Danio rerio: one gene and its partner. The protein of the gene in region 2 purifies or fractionates together with the protein of the main gene of each other region. This does not show direct contact. Links are inferred from orthologs where the notes say so. Each region holds a gene or a part of one and is shown on either strand. Other genes may lie near its edges.

What was found. The genes of interacting proteins can lie anywhere in the genome.
Region 1: the proteins of akap11 (region 2) and prkar1aa purify together in Homo sapiens (affinity purification with mass spectrometry; 3 studies listed by BioGRID and IntAct, counting the BioPlex papers as one, with this or other methods). This does not show direct contact. The link is inferred for Danio rerio from reciprocal best matches to the Homo sapiens genes AKAP11 and PRKAR1A.

What each region holds. Positions count from the first base shown.
Region 1 is NC_133178.1:35,128,211-35,133,271, reverse strand, and holds the start of prkar1aa (cAMP-dependent protein kinase type I-alpha regulatory subunit), read left to right. Parts: upstream 1-2,080; 5' UTR 2,081-2,178; intron 2,179-5,061. UniProt on the Homo sapiens protein: Regulatory subunit of the cAMP-dependent protein kinases involved in cAMP signaling in cells.
Region 2 is NC_133184.1:19,606,118-19,610,484, reverse strand, and holds part of akap11 (A-kinase anchor protein 11), read right to left. Parts: intron 2,886-4,367; 5' UTR 2,848-2,885; coding exon 2,785-2,847; intron 2,680-2,784; coding exon 2,569-2,679; intron 1-2,568. UniProt on the Homo sapiens protein: Binds to type II regulatory subunits of protein kinase A and anchors/targets them.

The DNA of each region.
Region 1 (5,061 bases), on a different chromosome or scaffold from region 2:
CATCTCATCGATGATTATTTACACAGTTGGCATTAAGAAGAACATACAAACGTGATCTGACTAACTTCTAGCAGCTAAATGTGTCTGGAAAAATATTCAAAGGCTTTTATTCTCATGAACCGCGCGGACGTAAACGCGTCTGAATGTTGTGATTGGCTAAAGCAGACGTCTCACGTCAGCACGTTCTAGACGTGCACGCGCTTATTACGGTAATCTTCCTTCTGCATTCACACAGCGCAGCATTCCGGGAAATTGCCGGTAATGTTACAACTTCTCTTTCCGGAAAATAGCCAGAACGAATTTACCGGTATTTTCAAAAAGGACCTGTTCACACATACAACCTTTCCGGAAAATTGCCGGCAATTTTCCGGAAAGGTCTGTATGTGTGAAAGGGGCTAAAGAGACACGTGACGTAAGAGTGCGGTTTCCCCGCCCACCGAATTGACTGACAGCTGCATAAACATGTCTCCATAGTAACGCATATAATAATATCAACAATACAGGACTTGCGCATAGCAACTGAGATTAAAAGATCTGTTCAGCTCTCTGTGATCATCAATCATCACCAAATGTTATTAAGAGTGAGTTTTACAAGTTAAAAAACTTTTTTAAAACAGTGCATGTTTGTAAGAAATTACAGCAATTTTACCATCTTTACTTGTAACCACAGCCGCATGTCAGTACAATTATAAAAGAAGCTTCAATCTCGGTTTGTGGACGTTAAATCAGGTTTATTTTGTACATTAACATTACAGATATCGATATAGCAGTGGATAATAACATGTATCCTCTCACATTCGCATTGCAAAATCAGTGCAAAATTCAACACGAGTGCTGTGTGTGTGTGTGTGTGTGTGTGTGTGTGTGTGTGTGTGTGTGTGTGTGTGTGTGTGTGTGTGTGTGTGTGTGTGTGTGTGTGCGTGTGTACACTTTGTAATAAAACTCTGTGTGACTCATCGAAAGGCTTAAATAAACTCCACAACAAATACATAAAAAATAAGCATCAGTAAAGTTCTTACTGTAGTATTTCTCACAAACATTACGTGAGATCTGCTTCCTTCTTGTCTGTCACTGTGCTGTTTATCTGACTCAGCTGAGATTGTGGCACACTCTGACAAGTTTGGGAATGGTGGGCGGGGAGAACTAGCATTAAAGGCACAGGCAACAAAAACAGCTACAGTTTGTCCAGAGCAGAAAATATCCAGAAAGGTATAATAAATAATCTGATGGTTGTTTTGAGCTGAAACTTTACAGACACATTCTGGAGAAACAAAAGACTCATCTTAAATCTTGAAAAAGTGGTAAAATAGGTGCCCTTTAAAGTTGCACAGTTCCAAAAAAGAAATACATTTATTAACCATTTACTCAATCTCAAGAGGGTAAAGCGTTTATGAGCATCTTACATCTGCTGAACACACACAGACTATTATAGAAGTTATATATGCAAAACACAATTACTATATCACTAATACTTATAGATTCAATGGGTATCGCCAACTGTTTTATAATATTGTACATTTGTATGATTGTAAATCTGTTTTGTAAACTTAACCTAGACACTAAAACAGGACCTGGTTTCACCCTGACACATTTTGCATGGCCTGATTCATAGCATAAGTTCAGGAAATGAAAATATTTTGCAGGATGTCAATTCAGCTGAAGGAAAAGAAAACTTAAATCTAGATTATTAAGGGTGTACTGTAATAACAGTCAATCAGACATTAATTTTAAGGGGGGGTCATATCTTCGCAGTGTTGTGACCCTGCTTGAATTGGCACAATTTAGGCTTGGGTTTATGTACAGAGCCATTAACCTTTTCAGCTGTCACCAGATTCATTCTCAGTGCTAAACACGTGGGTAAGGAATACTGTCCTTCTGTATTTGAATGTCACTCCCGGAGGAGCGTAAAATGTGATTTATACCCTCACGTCATGTGCGGCCGAATGTTCTGAGTTTTCTGGTTGATAACCTCGATCTCCTCTCTAAATACAAAAACAAGCCCTTGCCCTTTAAGGTTGTCAGGGGAAACCGGCTTCCCAGATCGAGGCGCATTGACGTCAATCGTTGTTTGTGATTGGTCATAACCTTTTCCGGTGAGGCGTCCATCCATCCAAGGACTGTGAGAAAATCAGTGTAAACGGAGTAAAGCACGTCGACAAACTCCTCGAAGCGACTCAGGTATGAATATTTAAATACAGCGGCTTTTACTGTAACGTTTGATGATGTCGATACGCGAGCTGACAAGCTCGTAGAGACGTTAATTTAATGCCATCGGCTTCCGTTGTTGTGATAATGTAGTTTGCAAGATGGCGTATTTTGCTGCTTGACAAAACTGGTTACAAAAAACACAGAGCTGGAAGAAGCTGCAGGATTACGCCGATCAACACTTTAACATTGACTCAATGAAGTCTAGTTATATTGGAATATGTTTTCTGGACCAAAATGGTTGTTTTCGCATGACCGAATGGCGTAATGTTGAGAAATGCCTGTGGGGATGCGAACTGCGAATTTTATGAGCTCAGGGGCCCCGACAGGAACCAGGAGCCATAGCATGGCTGTCAAAAATCAACAGTTAGATGAAAGTTCAGTATATATCGCTTTTGTGTGGTGTCATTGTAAGTTAAAGTAGAGATTTTAGACTAGATATGCGATGTAAGATTTATGTTAGTTTGTTTCAGTTTGACAACACGTTTGGAAGCTTGTAACATTTAGTATTAACAGCAACATCACTATCTGCTAGCATGGATTTATGATAGATTTGGTTATGACCTGGATGTTTCACGTGGGGTTTAATCCAGAGGACTTCCACTGTCATGAAAGACATTTTGAAATATAAATAAAAAGACCAGAAAGATGCATATCTATACAGAAAACTTTGAATGTTTTACACATTTAGTTTTTCTTCTTTTTTCACACATTTTTTTAATCTTCTTAATTTACACATTTAACTTCTCTGTGCAGGTAGAAATTCATTAGATGTTAAAAAGTTACAATTTCTCATAAATATTTGCAATCCATATCCTTCTCGTTTATTTGATCTTGTAAGCACTTTACAGCTACACATGTACTAAAGTGCTGTACAGTCAGTAGACATGGGCCGGTGTAAGATTCTGACACTATTATACCCTTAGATGAAAACATCACAGTTTCAAAAACAAAAACTTTTTTTTTCCCCTCTTTGAACACATTTTATTTTGAGAAACATTTTAAGTATTTTGGAGCAGTGAACATGTCAGGATAAATATTATAAATAAATCGTAGACTTCTGCTGTTTTATTAGTTTCAAAAACACAAACTTCTGGACCATTTGAAACACCACTTTTGGGTATCTTTTCTGTTGGAGATACTGCTGTCCTAAAAAACAAACAAAAAAAATTATTAAAGAAATCTTGCATATACCGCAGGAATGGTATAGCAAAAACATTTGACAGGTAAAAAAAAATGACTTTTCCAACTACGGTATACCTTGAAAACAGTTATTGTCCCATGCCTACAACAAACAAATGTATAAAACTAAACTCAATAAGGACTGATTAAAAAAATGGATGCAAACTTTCAATGTAAGTAACTGCTCTGATATACCACAATGGCAGATCTCTAGAAAAAATTTAAATGAGAACTTCACACTGAAAATTAAAATTTAATTATCCTAACAGAAATATTTGAGTTCAACCACTGACTATTAAAAGGAAAGTTAGTATAATTAGCAAATTGCTTTCAGCAAGTCATGAGACAAGTTTTTCTGCAGTAATGTTTTATTTACATGAGAAAATAAAGAGAAAATTAATAATCTGGAGAAGCAAAAGCATCAAACTGAAAAGAGCTCGTGCCATAGATATTATTGTGACGTTGTTTGAGTAACGTTTTGTTAAAATACCAAGTGTATTAATTTGATTTATTTTCATGAGAGTTAAATATGAAGTGCAACAGAATAAATACCTCTCATTCAAGTTTTATTACAGATATGAATCTGAAATTCAACTTCATTATTTGAAATGATGAAAGTTTAAGGCCAAAACTAGTAATACCACCCATATTTTTAAAAACACAGTAGGCACATTCTGGAAAAGGTGGATCTTAATCACTAAAAATGATAATAAATGTTTGATAAAATTGCAGAAAGGTTTGTGTAAGGGTAGGAGAATAGAAAATAGGATTCCCCTATGGATATGTTAATATGACTGTTATATCAAAGTAAAGACATGATAATGACAAAAGATGTATGTATAGTAAGTGTTTTAAAAGATGCCACAAAAATCCAAATTTATTCCCGTATGCTTGATATACGACACAATATTTATATATGGACAGTGGACAGGAAATGAAGTGGGAGAAAGGGGGTGCAGGATTACGAAAGTTCCCTGAGCCATGACTTGGGTTGGAGCGCTGCCAATGAAGCTGCTGACTCCAGATGCCTGATTTTATTAGTGTCTTGAACTGTTTTCTCTGAAAGTCTCAGCAGTACAAAAACAATTGTTATATTGAGTAATTCTGTATTTAAATTCTTTATGCAATGAAAACTCATCATGTTTACTTTAATAAAGCACATTATTATTCGTGTGGTGGATAGTTTATATGTGCCAGTCCAGAGAAAAATTATATTTATTTTTAAAATCTACAGTTAAAATCTGAAAATAATGTTTCACTCAAGAACAATGTTCTGTGTGAAGTTAGTTTGATGGCTTGGCGAGAACACCCTTTAACCACTTCCTTCCAGCTGCACATAAATGGAGCCCAAAACCTTTAATGAGTAATTAGTTACTCAGAAACCGTTAATGTAAAATTAAATGATATATTAGAATTTACAGTGAAATAAAAACTTATTGCATCAAAGGCATTTATTTTCTTTCCTCCATTCAAAGAACATGTGTGACTGTGAACTGGAAATACACTAAAGATGACTTAGTAAAAGTCTCCAAAAATGAAAATTCCCAAAAAAATTACTTGCCAATGTTGTTTCAAACTCATAACTTTACCATACCTAGGACATGTTTGATGAGATGTTTGTTCATAGGTTTGTTTGTCCTTCTATTGACAGGCCATGCAACAACCACTTTCAAG
Region 2 (4,367 bases):
TAATAATAATAATAATAATAATAATAAAATAGCCTAGTGCATAATCTTCTGTTTCAAAATAATAATAATAAAATAGCCTAGTGCATAATCTTCTGTGAAAAAACTAGCCTAGAGCACTATCTGATCTTAAAAATTAGCCTAGAGCACTAACTGTAGTTAAAACTAGCCTAGAGCACTAACTGTGGTTAAAACTAGCCTGGAACACTATATGATGTTAAAAACTAGCCTAGAGCACTATCTGTAGTTAAAAACTAGCCTAAAGCATTATCTGCTGTTAAAAAAACTAGCCTAGAGCACTATCTGTAGTTAAAAACTAGCCTAAAGCATTATCTGCTGTTAAAAAAACTAGCCTAGAGCACTAGCTGCTGTTAAAAACTAGCTTACAGCACTATCTGCAGTTAAAAACTAGCCTAGAGCACTATCTGTACTTAAAAACTAGCTTACAGCACTATCTGCGGTTAAAACTAGGCTAGAGCACTAGCTGTAGTTAAAAACTAGCCTCGATCCTCATCTGCTGATTAAAAAAAAAAAAAAAACTAATAAGGGTTTTGCCAAGAAGAAATGTTCTGTCTATGTTCACAAAATTAGAGCCGTGTTAAAAAAATTGCTTACAAAATTGATTTTGTGAATTTCAAAATGTATCACTAATCTTTTGTTTTTTCACAACAGATGGCTAGTTTTATTACTAGTTTATTTTTTTTCTATGCATTTTGGCTGTTTGTCCAGACTTGAATCACACAACTTAGTGTAAGGAGACTGAAACTGACAACTTCTGAAAACTCCGGGTACAGTGTGGCCATGTTGACACTATAACCAAAGTTTTTCCCTAATAATGTGTTTTCTCCTTTGTGATTGGCCTTTGTGATTGGCCTTTCTCCTTTGTGATTGGCCTAAACCTTTTCTAACATTTTTGACTGTTTTAGGTTCATGTGGTATTTATAAGAAATTGGATGCAAGAAGTGTTCAGCAGCTTAAAAAGCATTCAGCTCCATCTGCTGTATAAAAACTAAATTGATTTAAGAGAGAATAACAAGGCATTTTGAAAATTCAGAATCAAAGCAGAGTTGACTTCTCTAACACTTTTTCACCTCAGCATGACGTTGTCAACAAAAGACAGTTACAGTGTTTGAGGCCATTTGTCACCATTTAGGGAAAACCATACAGTGTTGATATGCTAATTTTCATCATTGTATATAAAGTTTCCTAACCAATGGCTTGCGATTTTCAAAAGTTCAAAATCAACTCTGTATTCAAATAGCATTGCGATGTTACATTCAGTGTTGCATTAATAGCTTGTTCATCCTAAATATAAGTGTGCTATAAAAACAAATCACTTTAAAGATGGCAGCACTGTTGTGAATAGATTCAAATCATAAACAAAATGTAACATTTTGTTCAATTTTAACCAATTCTGGATTCAATATCCCATGCACAAAGAATTCAGGAAAAAAATATAGATACAGTAGAGAATTGTTTTGGAATCAAAAAGTGACTCAGAATACGGTCAGATTATGAAGTCCCATCCCTACTTAAGGATCTGGCACAAACATTTCAGCAGTTCAGAATTGATTCTTTCTTTTAAGATACAATGACCTTATTTGACACAAACTTTGATGTAGGGCTGGGTGATTTGGCCTAAAATTAAAATCTCAATTAATTGAACATTTTAACTTGAGCACAATTAATGAACGACTATTTTATTAAATTTGTTTGTACATTAAATATACTCACTAATTACAAGTGAGATATTTTGGAATGGAGGGTGCATTACTTGATTTTAAAATAACCGAAAGAAATAATCTGACTTCTGAAATCTATCTATGATTATTTATTAAACATCAATGTTGAACAATTGAAATTAAAACACACATTGCCTAAAACCAACAGTCATTTTTTTCTTATAATAAAAAAATGAAAATAAATAACTCGCACTTTTGGATACAAAACTAATTATTTTTAATGTTTTCCATTTTTAAAGTAGAAACAAAGCAGCATCTCTTCTAAATAAAATAACTCTTGTATATCCTGTAAATAATATTTTAAACAGTGCATTTCTTGAATCTTCTGTAAAGAAATTTTTAATGTAAATAAGAGTTTTATTGTAAAGAAAAATATGCCATCTTTGGCACAGCTTCCAATCATCGTCACTGTAGTGCAAACGTGTAATGTATACTTAAATTTTTTGAGAGGTGCACTTAAATACGACCGCACGAAGGCTGCACCGGACCATACCCGTGCGTTCAACATAGAAGTTTAAAGTATAAAGCCTTAACTGAGCAGGGTCATGTGACTCCACACGTGGTAGGGAAAGTAATTGAAAAATTTGACCTGGAAAAACTTGATCGATCATAGGTACTGAATGTCGATTTTGATTAATTGTTCAGTCCTTCTTTGATGTTTAAAACTTTGACGACCTCCTCAAACAGCAACATTACAGATTGCAGTATGGATAAATGTTCAAAAGGCGCATAATAAGGGCACAATAAAAGAGTTCCTTTGCAACTTCATGCACATTAAAAAACACCCATATGGAAGTCTGAAATGCATGACGGTGTGTGTGATCCTTACTTCTGACAGACACTGCGGTTCTTTATTATGCAGCTCCACTACCACATTGCACAGCTCCTTTTTGTGTTTCAACAAACTCTTCAGGCACGGGTTTGAGCCCTCACGGATGGTCTGATCAAAGAAATATAAAGTATGTTAGAAACTGCAGGAGATTCCCACAAAAAATAACACCACAGATATGTTTTAGGAGAAAAAAAACTTCAATCAACAGCATACCTCTTTCTTCATGGTGGCACGGCTCTTTATTGGGATACCTCTGATCCGTGCACAGGCGTCCATGATGTTGCTTGGCTGGACAGGAGGTTCTCCTCTCCTTTAAGACAAATCAGCCCATTTAATTATCACATCTCATAACAATTGTCAATTAGGCTACAAATAATTCCATAGACTCTACAGTAGCTACATTAACATGCACTCAAACAATCTGTTTATAAATGGATTGACAGCTCATTAAAACTGGAAAGTCTTATGAATCACTTTCACTCATTAATTGCATTTTAACTGGATTGGACAACGCGACACAGATTTAAAATAATATGAGCAAAGAGAAAACAGGCAAAATTCAGACGACACGTATGGTAGTTAAGTTTTTTTTTTTTTTTTAAAGATGTCATTAAGTTTATAAGAAAAGCATATATTCACATGGAATAAAATAATCTCAAGGGCTTTTTGGTTTGAGAATATTGCAATTGCAACTAGAATGTTTGCATTGTATGCTCATAAATTGTGTTTGGAAAATAAATATTCATGCAAATTGGATTAGAAAGTTTAGGGTTCATATACAGTAAGCAGAACATTTTCTGAAATTGGAATGGATTCACAGAAGGAAACTGGCACATGTAAGAACACAAAACTCAAAGGTTCACAGAAAGATAAAGACCCCAATGACTGCATGTACAACAACAGATTGTTCAAAATGTCTTTTGTTGTTTTATAAGAGTTTAAAAATATAAGAGTTTTTAAAACACAAGAGTATTTAGAAAATTATTTAGTATTTACATTTACATTTAAAGCAGGGTCTCTGCAGGTTCCATCAAACAAATTTAAAGGGCGCCAATGATAAACTTTTGTAAGCTGTTTGGACAGAACTGTGTGTAGGTATACAGTGTATACCAGTCATATCCACATATCCACTGTATACACATATACAGTGTATCCACTGTCATATTGGAGTGATCGAAACCCGACAAGTCTCTTTTTAGGACCCAAATCTCAGTGATTTCAAGGCCCATTTCAACGTGATGTAGGAGTGTGGTTTTCCCCACCCACTGAATTAATTGACAGGCACCATAATTACATGTATACACATGTCCACAAAAAAAAAAAAAAATCATAAAGAAACCGGGATTAACATATCTGTTCAAATCTTTGTGATTTTTATAAGTCTTCATTCATTCATTCATTTTCTTGTCAGTTTATTAGTCCCTTTATTAATACGGGGTCGCCACAGCAGAATGAACCGCCAACTTATCCAGCAAGTTTTTACGCAGCAGATGCCCTTTCAGCCGCAACCCATCTCTGGGAAACATCCAAACACACACTCATACTCTACGGACAATTTAGCCTACCCAATTCACCTGTACCGCATGTCTTTGGACTGTGGGGGAAACCGGAGCACCCGGAACGCCACACAGAAACGCCAACTGAGCCAAGGCTCGAACCACCGACCCAGCAATCTTCTTGCTGTGAGGCGACAGCACTACATACTGGGCCACTGCTTCGCCCTTTTATAAGTATTTTAGGTTTAAAAGATTTTGTTTTTGGAATTTAAGATATTTTAAGACCACACAGACACACTG